Arabidopsis thaliana: one gene and its partner. The protein of the gene in region 1 purifies or fractionates together with the protein of each later gene. This does not show direct contact. Each region holds a gene or a part of one and is shown on either strand. Other genes may lie near its edges. The genes, in order: PI4K GAMMA 7 and UFD1.

Region 1 (5,834 bases):
ATATGTATGATAAAATTGGTCATTGGAGTATGGAGACTCACTAATTTAGTAATTTGTGATAAAAAAGAGTTTCTTCAGAATAACATGTATTTAATTGTTTCCTATAAATGTATAGCAGTTGAGTTAATGGGAAGACACTTGCTGCACATGGATATGGATCATGTATCATAATTTATGCTTAATCTCTCTTTATTTTTCTGAAATAAAAATCAGTATAATAGTCAAAAAGTGTTCAAAGCTGAATTGTGCATTATGGAGACAAGATCTTTTATGTCCAAAGTGGTTTAATCTCATTATATATTATGATTCACTATTACTCATGTGGACTTAAAAGTGCCATCGTAGTCGCTTTATTCATTCGATACCTAATGGACTTCATAATTATATTGAAATTATTTTTTATGACTTTTATAATTACATATATATTCATTGTTAATTCTTCAGTTATCTTTTAAACAAGTTAAGATATGATTTATCAATATTCTTATTTTATTTTTAACCCAAAATACATATTTTTATCTTAATTAATCTAATTATTTTAAAAATATTAGATAATTATTATTTTTACTTATTTCAAAGTATTTTTGGTCAGGTATTACTAAGGTTATAAATATTTTTAAAAAATCATATGTAAAATCATATCTTTTGTAAACATAAATAAATTTAGCTAATTTATCTTATAATTATATCCTTGTCGGTGTATTTCTTGTGTCGAATGTATTTCTAATCATTTGTACAATATGAACTATGATTTGTAATTAATTAACTTGTCACTAGCTAATTTTAACTTCATTTTAATTATGGGCTTTTAAATTGTTAAGGCCCAATTTGTAGCTTCATGTCATCGCTACATCCTATTAAAACCAAGTCGGCATTCTCATCCTTTGCCACGTACCACTTCCAGATCGGACGGTCAAGATTCCATAAGAATCTATAATCGAACGGTTCTCTTTGCCTGTTCTAGACTCTTCCAAAGATGGGGACGATGATGCATGTTCTTTTTTACTATTTTACCTGTCAATATATGCCTCTATTTACTTCGAGACTTTACGCTACATATGTCAATTTATGCCTCTATTTACTATGCTATTTTTTTACGCTTAATGTTACAAACTTTAATGTTTTCTTTATGATAAAATGGGTATATATTTTCATTTTTTTCAACTCTTTATTGGTGAGATCGCACGTCTTTGCCGTAGTGATTCATATAGAAAATATCTAAGGGAACATGAACTATAAATTAATAGATTTCACATTATTTTGTAACCTTGAATTATGTGTAATAATTATATTCCAAGTAATGTTTAGTTATTTTCTAAACTATACATAATTCAATAAATAATATAATAATCGAAATCGTGGACAAAAAAAAGGTACTAAAAACTGAAGAAAACTTCTATGGAACTAAAGCTTCACACTTGTCATAGATTTATCAGTTTCATATTATTATTGATAAAAATAATATAAAATGAATAAAAACTTCAAACCAAAGAAAATATGAAATGGCAAATAGAGCAATTATAATTTCCACTGCAAAGGTATTAAATAATAACGAAAGAAATGAGGAAATAATTTAAATTGTAGTAAAGAAGAAGACAAAATAACATTTCAAAATAGATTTTTTATTTCCCAAAATATAAAAATAGTAGATTCGATTACAAAATTCTTAACCAAAATCATAATCTAGCCGGTTTAATAAATGAAAGAAAACAAAATTAAACAGGGTTATCTAAAAAACAACTATAGGAATAATAAATAATACGATGACGTGTCATAAGGATAGATTTTAGAATTTAATCCAATAACAAACAAGTTCGCTGAAAATAAACCATGGTTAAGAGATTTAACCAGAGGACTCAGATCAGAGTTAAAAAGCGTTCCTTTGAGAGGTGAATCAACGAAGGAGACAACACAACACACACACACACAGAGAGCAAGCAAAAGAGGCGGCTAGGGATCAGAGAGTGGTTCCTTCACTGAAAGTTTCTTCTTTTTCATTCTCTTCTTCTCCTTCAGATTCCTTGCCTCTTCTTCAAGATTCTCCTCTCTTCCATGTGCGTTTCTGTGCTTTTGAAGACGACGATGATGATGATGATGTCTTTATATTGAAACCAAATTCGTCTCCACGATTGTTTCTTCTGAGTTTTGATTTTTCAGATCTCGCTTCTTTTCCGGTGAGTTTCACGCTTTTTCTATAAAGCTCATTGATTTGTTCTTAGTTTTGTTTCTCTTCAATTTCTGGAATCGATCAAGATCTTAATTTGATGGATTAGTGAGATTTAAGATCTGTTTTTTTCTTTTGCAGATTTGTTCAATCATCATGGCTTACCTGATGTAGTAATTGGGATCAAATTCATTCACAAAGCTCGAGTTTTTATTATTAGTGGCTACTGTTATCTGTGTATAGAAGAAGCTTGTGTGTGTGGTTCTCTACGTTTCATGATCGGTTTAGGTATCTGTTATATCCGGCTCGTGTTGGTTTCAGATTTAGGCACTGGTCTAGAAGGTCTTTCTTCGGCTACTGCTTCTTCTGTTCACCAAAAGAAGCCTTTTTTGGTTTCTTCTTCTGTTTCATGTCGAGGAACTTAGACAGTCCTGTTCAGACACAAATGGCAGTGGCAGTTTTCAAGACTCCTCTTACTGGAGCTAGTAAGATGGAAGGGAAGCAGCATCATAAGCATCAGCATTTACAGAGGCAATCATCGGGGAGGAGAGTTTTCGTGCAGACTGAAACTGGTTGTGTTTTGGGGATGGAGTTGGATCGTAGTGATAATGTTCATACTGTTAAAAGGAGGCTTCAGATTGCTCTTAATTTCCCTACTGAAGAGAGTTCTTTGACTTATGGTGATATGGTGTTGACGAATGATTTGAGTGCTGTGAGGAACGATTCTCCGCTTCTGCTGAAACGGAACTTTATGCATCGAAGCTCGTCTACTCCTTGTCTTTCGCCTACTGGGAGGGATTTGCAACAGAAAGATCGAAGTGGTCCTATTGAGATACTAGGCCATTCGGATTGCTTTTCGATTGTTAAACATATGGTTAAGGACATTGTTAAGGCGATGAAGATGGGTGTTGAACCGCTTCCTGTTCATAGCGGGCTTGGAGGTGCTTACTATTTTAGGAACAAAAGGGGTGAGAGTGTTGCCATTGTCAAGCCGACGGATGAAGAGCCGTTTGCACCTAACAACCCTAAAGGCTTTGTTGGGAAAGCCCTTGGGCAACCTGGATTGAAGTCTTCGGTGCGAGTTGGGGAAACGGGGTTTAGAGAAGTTGCTGCTTATCTTCTTGATTATGGTCGCTTTGCTAATGTCCCTCCAACTGCTCTTGTGAAGATAACTCATTCTGTATTCAATGTCAACGATGGGGTGAAGGGGAACAAGCCTCGGGAGAAGAAGCTGGTTAGTAAGATTGCTTCTTTCCAGAAGTTTGTGGCTCATGATTTCGATGCAAGTGATCATGGTACTTCAAGCTTCCCTGTAACTTCTGTGCACCGCATTGGTATTTTGGACATAAGGATCTTCAACACAGACCGTCATGGTGGGAATCTTTTGGTGAAGAAGCTCGATGGAGTTGGTATGTTTGGTCAAGTGGAGCTTATTCCAATAGACCATGGCCTCTGCCTGCCAGAAACACTTGAGGATCCTTATTTTGAGTGGATTCATTGGCCTCAGGCATCATTACCATTCTCTGATGAAGAGGTTGACTACATACAAAGTCTTGATCCAGTGAAAGACTGTGACATGCTTAGAAGGGAACTTCCAATGATTAGAGAGGCGTGTCTTCGGGTTCTTGTTCTCTGTACTATTTTCCTTAAAGAAGCTTCTGCATATGGTCTGTGTCTTGCCGAGATTGGCGAGATGATGACTCGGGAATTTCGTCCTGGAGAAGAGGAGCCAAGTGAACTGGAGGTTGTGTGTATTGAAGCCAAGAGATCAGTCACTGAACGAGATGTTTTCTCTCCAAGGTCAGATGTAGTAGGAGAAGCAGAGTTTCAGTTTGATCTAGACTGTGATGATTTGGAGTCAGTCTACAGTTCTAAGATACAACTAACCGATGACTATTTCACCAAAAACCCTTTTTCAAATGGACGTTCTTCGCTCGGGAAGCTTGAAGAAAGCATCAAGGAAGAAGAAGAAGATGAAGAAGAAGAAGAGGACAAAACTGAAAATACTGTCCCTATGATCATTATGAAAGACAGTTTTTTTAGTTCAGCTGCTTTTCATGACAAGGCTCCATCTCTTTCAAAGCTTTCCACTTCAATGAAGAACACACATCTTAGTGACACGACACGTAAAAACCCAAAACCCTTAACCAGAGGCAAATCCGAGAACACATCGTCTGGTCACAAAAGCGCAAACGAACAGCTTCCAGTGAGTGCAAGCTTTGTGAAAGTAGCAGACATGAAAGAAGACGAGTGGGTTCTCTTCCTCGAGAGGTTCCAAGAGTTACTTGGACCGGCTTTCGCAAAACGCAAAACCGCAACGTTGAGTAAGAGACAGAGACTTGGCACTTCATGCCAGTTTTGAGAGTCGTATAGTAAAAAGTAAAACTCGAGAAGTTAAAAGAGACAGTATGGAGTAAAAAACTGAAGACTTCTTCTTCAGTTCTATGGTAGTAAAAAACTAGTAGTTACTTTTGGAAGGTTTGGCTTATGACAAGCGACGAGGTGAAGAAAAGGGGTTTTGTTTGTTTGTTTTTTTAACTGTTTTGTAAATATTTCTTTTACTACTCTTTGTGATCTTCTTTGTTTGTTTGTTTGGTTTTTTTTTTGCCCCTTTTATCACCTTCTCTTGTTTTTTTCTTTGGTATGTCCTTGTGGCTTGGCCTTGTCCCATAAATAATATTAGTCTTCTTTCACTTTTTGGTGTGGTCGTTCATTGTTCATACAATGAAACCCAGACATATATAGTGGACCGTTTGATGTATGATTCAGTATCCGCATAAAAGTATCACACCGATGTTTAGATATGTATGTTGCGGTTGTATCACCTAACCGTCACACACTGCATTTTTCACCATTCATAGTTTAAATGTCCTAGTGGCTTGGCCTTGTCCCATAGGTTTGATAGGTGTTACAAAGAGAGACAAGAGAAAGTGGTAAAGCGTAAGCGTGATGGTCCCAAAGACAGCTGCAAAGAAAGCGATATGGGCATCGACGACCCATTTTCTCCATTATCCATTTTATCATATCATCAGGTTATGTACAAAGTTGTCAAAAAAGTTCAAAGAATCATACCAAATTTCGACGCAACAAAACGATGATATTGAATGGGACCCCATTTGTGGGTAAGGGGTTATCATTTTTATATCCGTCCTTTCGACAAGACAACATCAATTTAACGTAACATTCCTTTGATGTATTTTTTTTTTCGTGTGTAATAGTACTTGTACTTCTATATGTAATAATGTGTACTATCCAAGAGGCAACAACACTATTTTACATATGAAGTTTTGAATTCTTCGGTCAATTTTTTTTTTTTTCATATTTGAAATCAGCCATGGATCAATATAATAATTTACAAGAAATCAGTTACTACATACAATATAATCGTATCGTTTGATTGTTTCGATGGTGGTATATGTTTTGTTTACAATAAAATTCATATGATTGGTTTCCGTACCTATTATATTTGAAATGTTCTAAATTCAACCTTTTTCTTTCCTTGATGAGTTTTATGTATGTAGGGTATTGCTTCGAAGCTTTTCGCATTCAACAACTTTAAATGTTTTGAGCATTATTCGACAATCTTCTTTTTACCTTGTAAGAAAAAAAATATATACATTCACTATGTGCTCTTAACGTAAAAAAAACATTTCGAAAATATTAGTTTTGA
Region 2 (5,164 bases), 7.9 Mb from region 1:
GGACCTCTGGGTTCCGGACAACAATGGTAAACGTTGGATGCTTTTTCTGGTTATCTATTGAATGTCTCTCTACGAATTTGAAGATCATATCATATTTCCATAATTCATTGTGTAGGTTCTCTTGGATTCACGTGGATGACTTGGTGAACTTAATTTACGAGGCCCTCACTAATCCATCTTATAAAGGTAACAACATACATACTTGTCCTCTATGTTACCTTTTAAGAATAGGTCAAGGGAAGCATAATGCTATTGGTGCTGGTTGTTGGCAGGAGTTATTAATGGGACTGCGCCGAATCCGGTTAGGCTTGGGGAAATGTGCCAGCAGCTAGGCAGTGTTCTTAGCCGACCATCGTGGCTACCAGTTCCTGACTTTGCACTCAAAGCTTTGCTCGGAGAAGGTGCCACTGTAGTTCTGGAGGGACAGAAGGTATTACCTGTAAGAGCCAAAGAGCTTGGTTTTGAATTCAAGTATAAATACGTGAAGGATGCACTCAGAGCCATTATGCAATAAGGTGACACACATAAGCATCTTTGTAAAATTGGTTTTGATCACAGAAAATCCCCAGAAAAACAAGATATTCTTTTCTTTTCGTCTCTATATCTTTCTTTTTGAGTAAAACTCGAGAAATGTATTTATGGTAAAAAGTGTTTTCGGTGTTATCTCAGAAACCAGAGATCACAGATGTGTTGAGGATATTATAACTCAGACATAGCATCTTTCTCATCTATGTTCTTTGGTCATTGGTTCATTGGTAAAGAGCTACAGAGCATGGCTTGCTATTCATGAACACATTATGTTAGTGAGGTGCTCAGAATCTTATATCCTACAGTAAGAATATAAAAGAGCAGAGAATTGTAGAAAGTTGCATTGAATCTGATAAAGAAAACAAGCCGCGTCAAGAGGAGCCAGAGATTTATTCACTTATTTGTTTTCCTTGTATTTTTAGTACACAACATGAGAGGTCATAAATAGACTGAGTAGACCCATTGTGTGAGTTGATCAACCCCTCAATGAATACTTCTTCCCAGAGAAAGCTTGAAACTTGGGCTCGTCTTTCTTCTCTTGTTCCTCTTTCTTTGTCTCTTTTGCAGCTCCAACCTGAAAAAAAAAATTAAGAGATGAACAATCATATGCATTTGTCTCTCAATTCCATTACAGTTTTTGTTTTGTCAATTATCAATAAACTCTGAATGCGTACTTTCGGAGCAGCTTCTTTTGGAGCACGGTTTCCGTTAGCCCCAAATACAAGCTTTCCCTGAGCTCGTGTAGCTTTCTCTGAGCTACTTGCTACAGATGACTGTCCATTACCATTAGCGACAACAGGTTGTTTGCCTTTTGAGCTAGAGGCTGGCGCTGGCTCATAGGCAAGAGGTCTCCCATCTAACCGTCTTCCAGATCCGGTGAAAGGGTTGAACTTTGGTTCAGGTTCATCCACAACCTCCTCAGCTGTGAAATTTGGAAAGAAAAGAACACATGAGAATCTAACAACTTGAAGCTGATAGTAAGTCCATCTGATGATTTCATGTCCATGGATAGATACCTTTTGCCGGACCCTTAGCTGCAGAAGGTGCTGTGGGACGTTCAGGCTCCTTGTAATCGAGGGGAGGTGCGAAATCAACCTCACAGTCTGTTTCTATGATGCTGATTGCGTTAGCAGGCTTTGTTTCAACTATATCTATGAAGTACTTCTTATTGTTGTATGGAACCATAATGCTATCCCCACTAGTTAGGCATGAATAATTTCTCAAAGCAGTCTCCAAGCTGCAACGTTCACTCAATTATCAGTAAAGAATATTGGGAACAAGATAAAAAGAGTGACATCAAACAACTACGAGCCAGAAAACGGGAAGAACTTAGATATAATAATACATTCTCTAAGCAATAAACAACATGATGTGGGAAAGTATATGAGGGCTCAAATACAAGAGGGTAGAAATAAGTCGGACTCACATGGCTTTCGGGTTGGATATATCCAGGAAGTCTGTTGTGTGGGGCTGTAGTTTAACGTAAGTTCCCTTTGGAAGAGTGACATTTCTAACTCTCACAATGTCTCCTTCTTGCAGCAGCAGATTCTGCATCATCTGGATTATATCAAAGAAGCAAACAATCAGTCTGGTAAGTCCACATGATCCAGAGTACTTCGATTCACAAACAAAGAGGAAACTGATTCTTACCCAATATGGCATGTAAATCATGCCTTCTTCTGCAATGAACTCAAGGACTCCACAGTGTGTAACACGTTCAATTCCAGCATTACGAAGCTCAAACAGCATCGGATAGTCAATATGCAAAGAGGCTGTAAAGTCCCCAATATTAGCGATTTGATATGTTTCTAAGTTAAACAAATATTAGACCAAATCCAAAAGAGAAAACCAGTAGGAGCATACCTAGACGATCAAGGGCTGATGGTGGCATTATAACTGAAATAGAATTAACACAAATTAAAACCTCAGGCTTGAACAATACAGATGGAAACAAACATTGGTGTCTAGATAGAAGACTTACTCTTGTCACCACTTTCAAGTTGTGGCTGCAGGGAAGAGAAAAGGAAATAGAAATTAGATACTAGATCTCAGCTTTCTTATAGAACTTACTTAGTAGAACATGACAACGACTAAGATTCTAACATTACAAAAGAGCACTCTCAGATTCACTTATCAGGGAATTAAACTAAAAGTAGAGAGATGAAATCAAACCTTGTCGATAAAAGATGCCGGATAACACCGGTAACTCTGCTCAAAGGTTGTTCCATGATAATGGTATCCATCGAAAAACTGCATCGAGTTTAAATTCCAAAGGTTTAGACAAACAAACCAAGGGTGCGAGATATAAAAGCTAGAGTGAAGACTAACGGTTAAAAAGGAAAGCTTTGAATACACTTACCATAGTTATTGGTGGTAGTAGACTAACAGAGTAAGTTAACAAATGGCAACCTACAGAAAAAGAAACCTCACACAAGTCAATTACAAGAGATCCAAATCATAAAAGAGAAAAAGAGGGCACTCTTTAATTTAAGGGTTTCAATAATCAATTGTGGCCAACAATTCCGACCGGAAGGAACATCAAAGTTAGTGACTTTAACAGATAACTAAACAAGCTATTATCAAAAACCTAAGACCTCAATTTCGAATCTCAGCAGAAGAATAGAAACCTACAAAATCGAAGAACCATCTACAACTTGCAAAATCCCACCTTTTGAAACAAACCCAAGTAAGATCCTTGGAAACCTATTCCTAAACAATTCACCGGAAATCCCCAGAACAGAAGATTCCGATCAAAAGTTGAGAGTGGGATCGATACAAACAATACCAAAGCTAAAAACTTTACAAAATTAAAAGCTCGTCTTGAGATTATCAGAGAAGAATAAGAACTCAGAAACCACCGATTGAGCTGCCCGACCAATAAAATTACCTTTAGGAAGTAATTGATTCCAGACACAACCCAAGTAAAGATGCAAACTTTGAGGACCTGTGATAACGTTGCTTGTATATATATATACCCATACGGTGCGTATTGATTCATGTCTTTGTAAAACAGTTTGGGCTTCACAAAAAACGGTACTAGCCCATTGGGCCTCGAATAGTGAGGAATCATGACCACTTTATATTGACGTGTGCGTTACCAACTTACCATACTGGGAAACTCTCAATTCTGAGCAGATATCTACCCAATCACGGATTGAGGAGAGAAGCAAGAAGAAGAAATGGAGATTACACTGAACAGTGGCTTCAAAATGCCGATCATCGGCTTAGGAGTTTGGAGAATGGAGAAAGAAGAGCTTCGAGACCTTATCATCGATGCCATCAAGATCGGTTATCGTCATCTCGACTGTGCTGGTATAACTTAACACTGCTTAAAACCTTTTCTTTCTGATCTTTGTTGCTTCGGGTTTGTCAGGATATGTGAATAAAATATTAGGTTTTGTTTTAATTTGTTGAAAGTTGGAATCTTACTTGGAAATTATGTCTTAAGATTTGGGTTTTTAAGTATTTGGAAATTTGGAATCGTAGAATGATCTTAAGTCTTTGCTGTATCACAGACAATTGTTTTTGTTTCTTTGCATGTGAGTGAGTTGCTTTGTTCTGTATCCTGATTTATGAGTATCTTTTGGGGTTACTTGGTTCAGCTAATTATAAGAACGAAGCTGAAGTTGGTGAGGCTCTTACAGAAGCATTCACGACAGGTCTTGTCAAGAGGGAGGATCTCTTCATTACGACTAAGGTCCAAACGGCTTTAAGTTAAACTACTACATACCTTTGATATCAGTTCATTTCAGATCGAATGCTCTCTGTCTTGGTTTTGCAGCTATGGAGTTCAGACCATGGCCATGTTATTGAGGCATGCAAAGACAGTCTCAAGAAACTTCAACTTGATTACCTCGACCTTTTCCTCGTTCATATACCCATAGCTACAAAACACACGGGTTAGGCTTCAGCCTTGTTCATGAATATTATCAGTTTCGAGTAGAGACCATTGCATTTCAGCCTTGTTACTGGCTGGAAAATTAAGTTTTCTCAAGTCTCTAGCAATTGGCACACAGAGTAATAAGCTGTAACATGTAAGCCTTGTGCAGGAATAGGAACAACCGATAGTGCTTTGGGGGATGATGGGGTATTGGACATAGATACAACAATCTCTCTGGAAACTACATGGCACGACATGGAAAAGCTTGTTTCTATGGGTTTAGTCCGCAGCATTGGAATCAGGTTCAACTTCTCTCACTATCATTACAAGTTCTCTTGTTTAGTCGCCAATATATGAATTATTTGACCATTAGGTTTTTTGCAGTAACTATGATGTCTTTCTAACGAGAGATTGCTTGGCTTACTCCAAGATCAAACCTGCTGTGAATCAGATCGAGACACATCCTTACTTCCAACGCGATTCTCTAGTCAAATTCTGCCAGAAACATGGTATCTGTGTCACTGCTCATACTCCTCTGGGAGGTGCCACAGCCAATGCCGAATGGTTTGGCACCGTGTCATGTCTGGATGACCCAGTTCTCAAAGTAAGCCCCATCCTCTAAACCTTAAAAGTTTGGACTGAAACAGTTAAATAATTAAACCTTTTGTCTGTCTGAATTCATAGGATGTGGCCGAGAAGTACAAACAGACAGTGGCACAGATTGTCCTGAGGTGGGGAATTCAGAGGAACACGGTG

Evidence for each region.
Region 2: the proteins of PI4K GAMMA 7 (region 1) and UFD1 purify together in Arabidopsis thaliana (affinity purification with mass spectrometry, with the first as the bait; one study listed by BioGRID). This does not show direct contact.

The regions. Positions count from the first base shown.
Region 1 is NC_003071.7:1,183,626-1,189,459, forward strand, and holds PI4K GAMMA 7 (phosphoinositide 4-kinase gamma 7), read left to right. Parts: upstream 1-1,832; 5' UTR 1,833-2,174; intron 2,175-2,305; 5' UTR 2,306-2,573; coding exon 2,574-4,526; 3' UTR 4,527-5,056; downstream 5,057-5,834. UniProt on the Arabidopsis thaliana protein: The phosphorylation of phosphatidylinositol (PI) to PI4P is the first committed step in the generation of phosphatidylinositol 4,5-bisphosphate (PIP2), a precursor of the second messenger inositol 1,4,5-trisphosphate (InsP3).
Region 2 is NC_003071.7:9,105,852-9,111,015, reverse strand, and holds UFD1 (ubiquitin fusion degradation 1), read right to left. Parts: upstream 3,451-5,164; 5' UTR 3,176-3,450; coding exon 3,160-3,175; exon of another isoform or gene 2,938-3,159; coding exon 2,888-2,937; intron 2,779-2,887; coding exon 2,701-2,778; intron 2,535-2,700; coding exon 2,510-2,534; intron 2,425-2,509; coding exon 2,392-2,424; intron 2,301-2,391; coding exon 2,179-2,300; intron 2,086-2,178; coding exon 1,955-2,085; intron 1,766-1,954; coding exon 1,545-1,765; intron 1,451-1,544; coding exon 1,203-1,450; intron 1,103-1,202; coding exon 1,004-1,102; 3' UTR 755-1,003; downstream 1-754. Other genes in the region: SULA (NAD(P)-binding Rossmann-fold superfamily protein), read left to right, coding at 1-26, 116-186, 273-514; AT2G21260 (NAD(P)-linked oxidoreductase superfamily protein), read left to right, coding at 3,708-3,840, 4,131-4,225, 4,310-4,427, 4,578-4,710, 4,793-5,012, 5,093-5,164.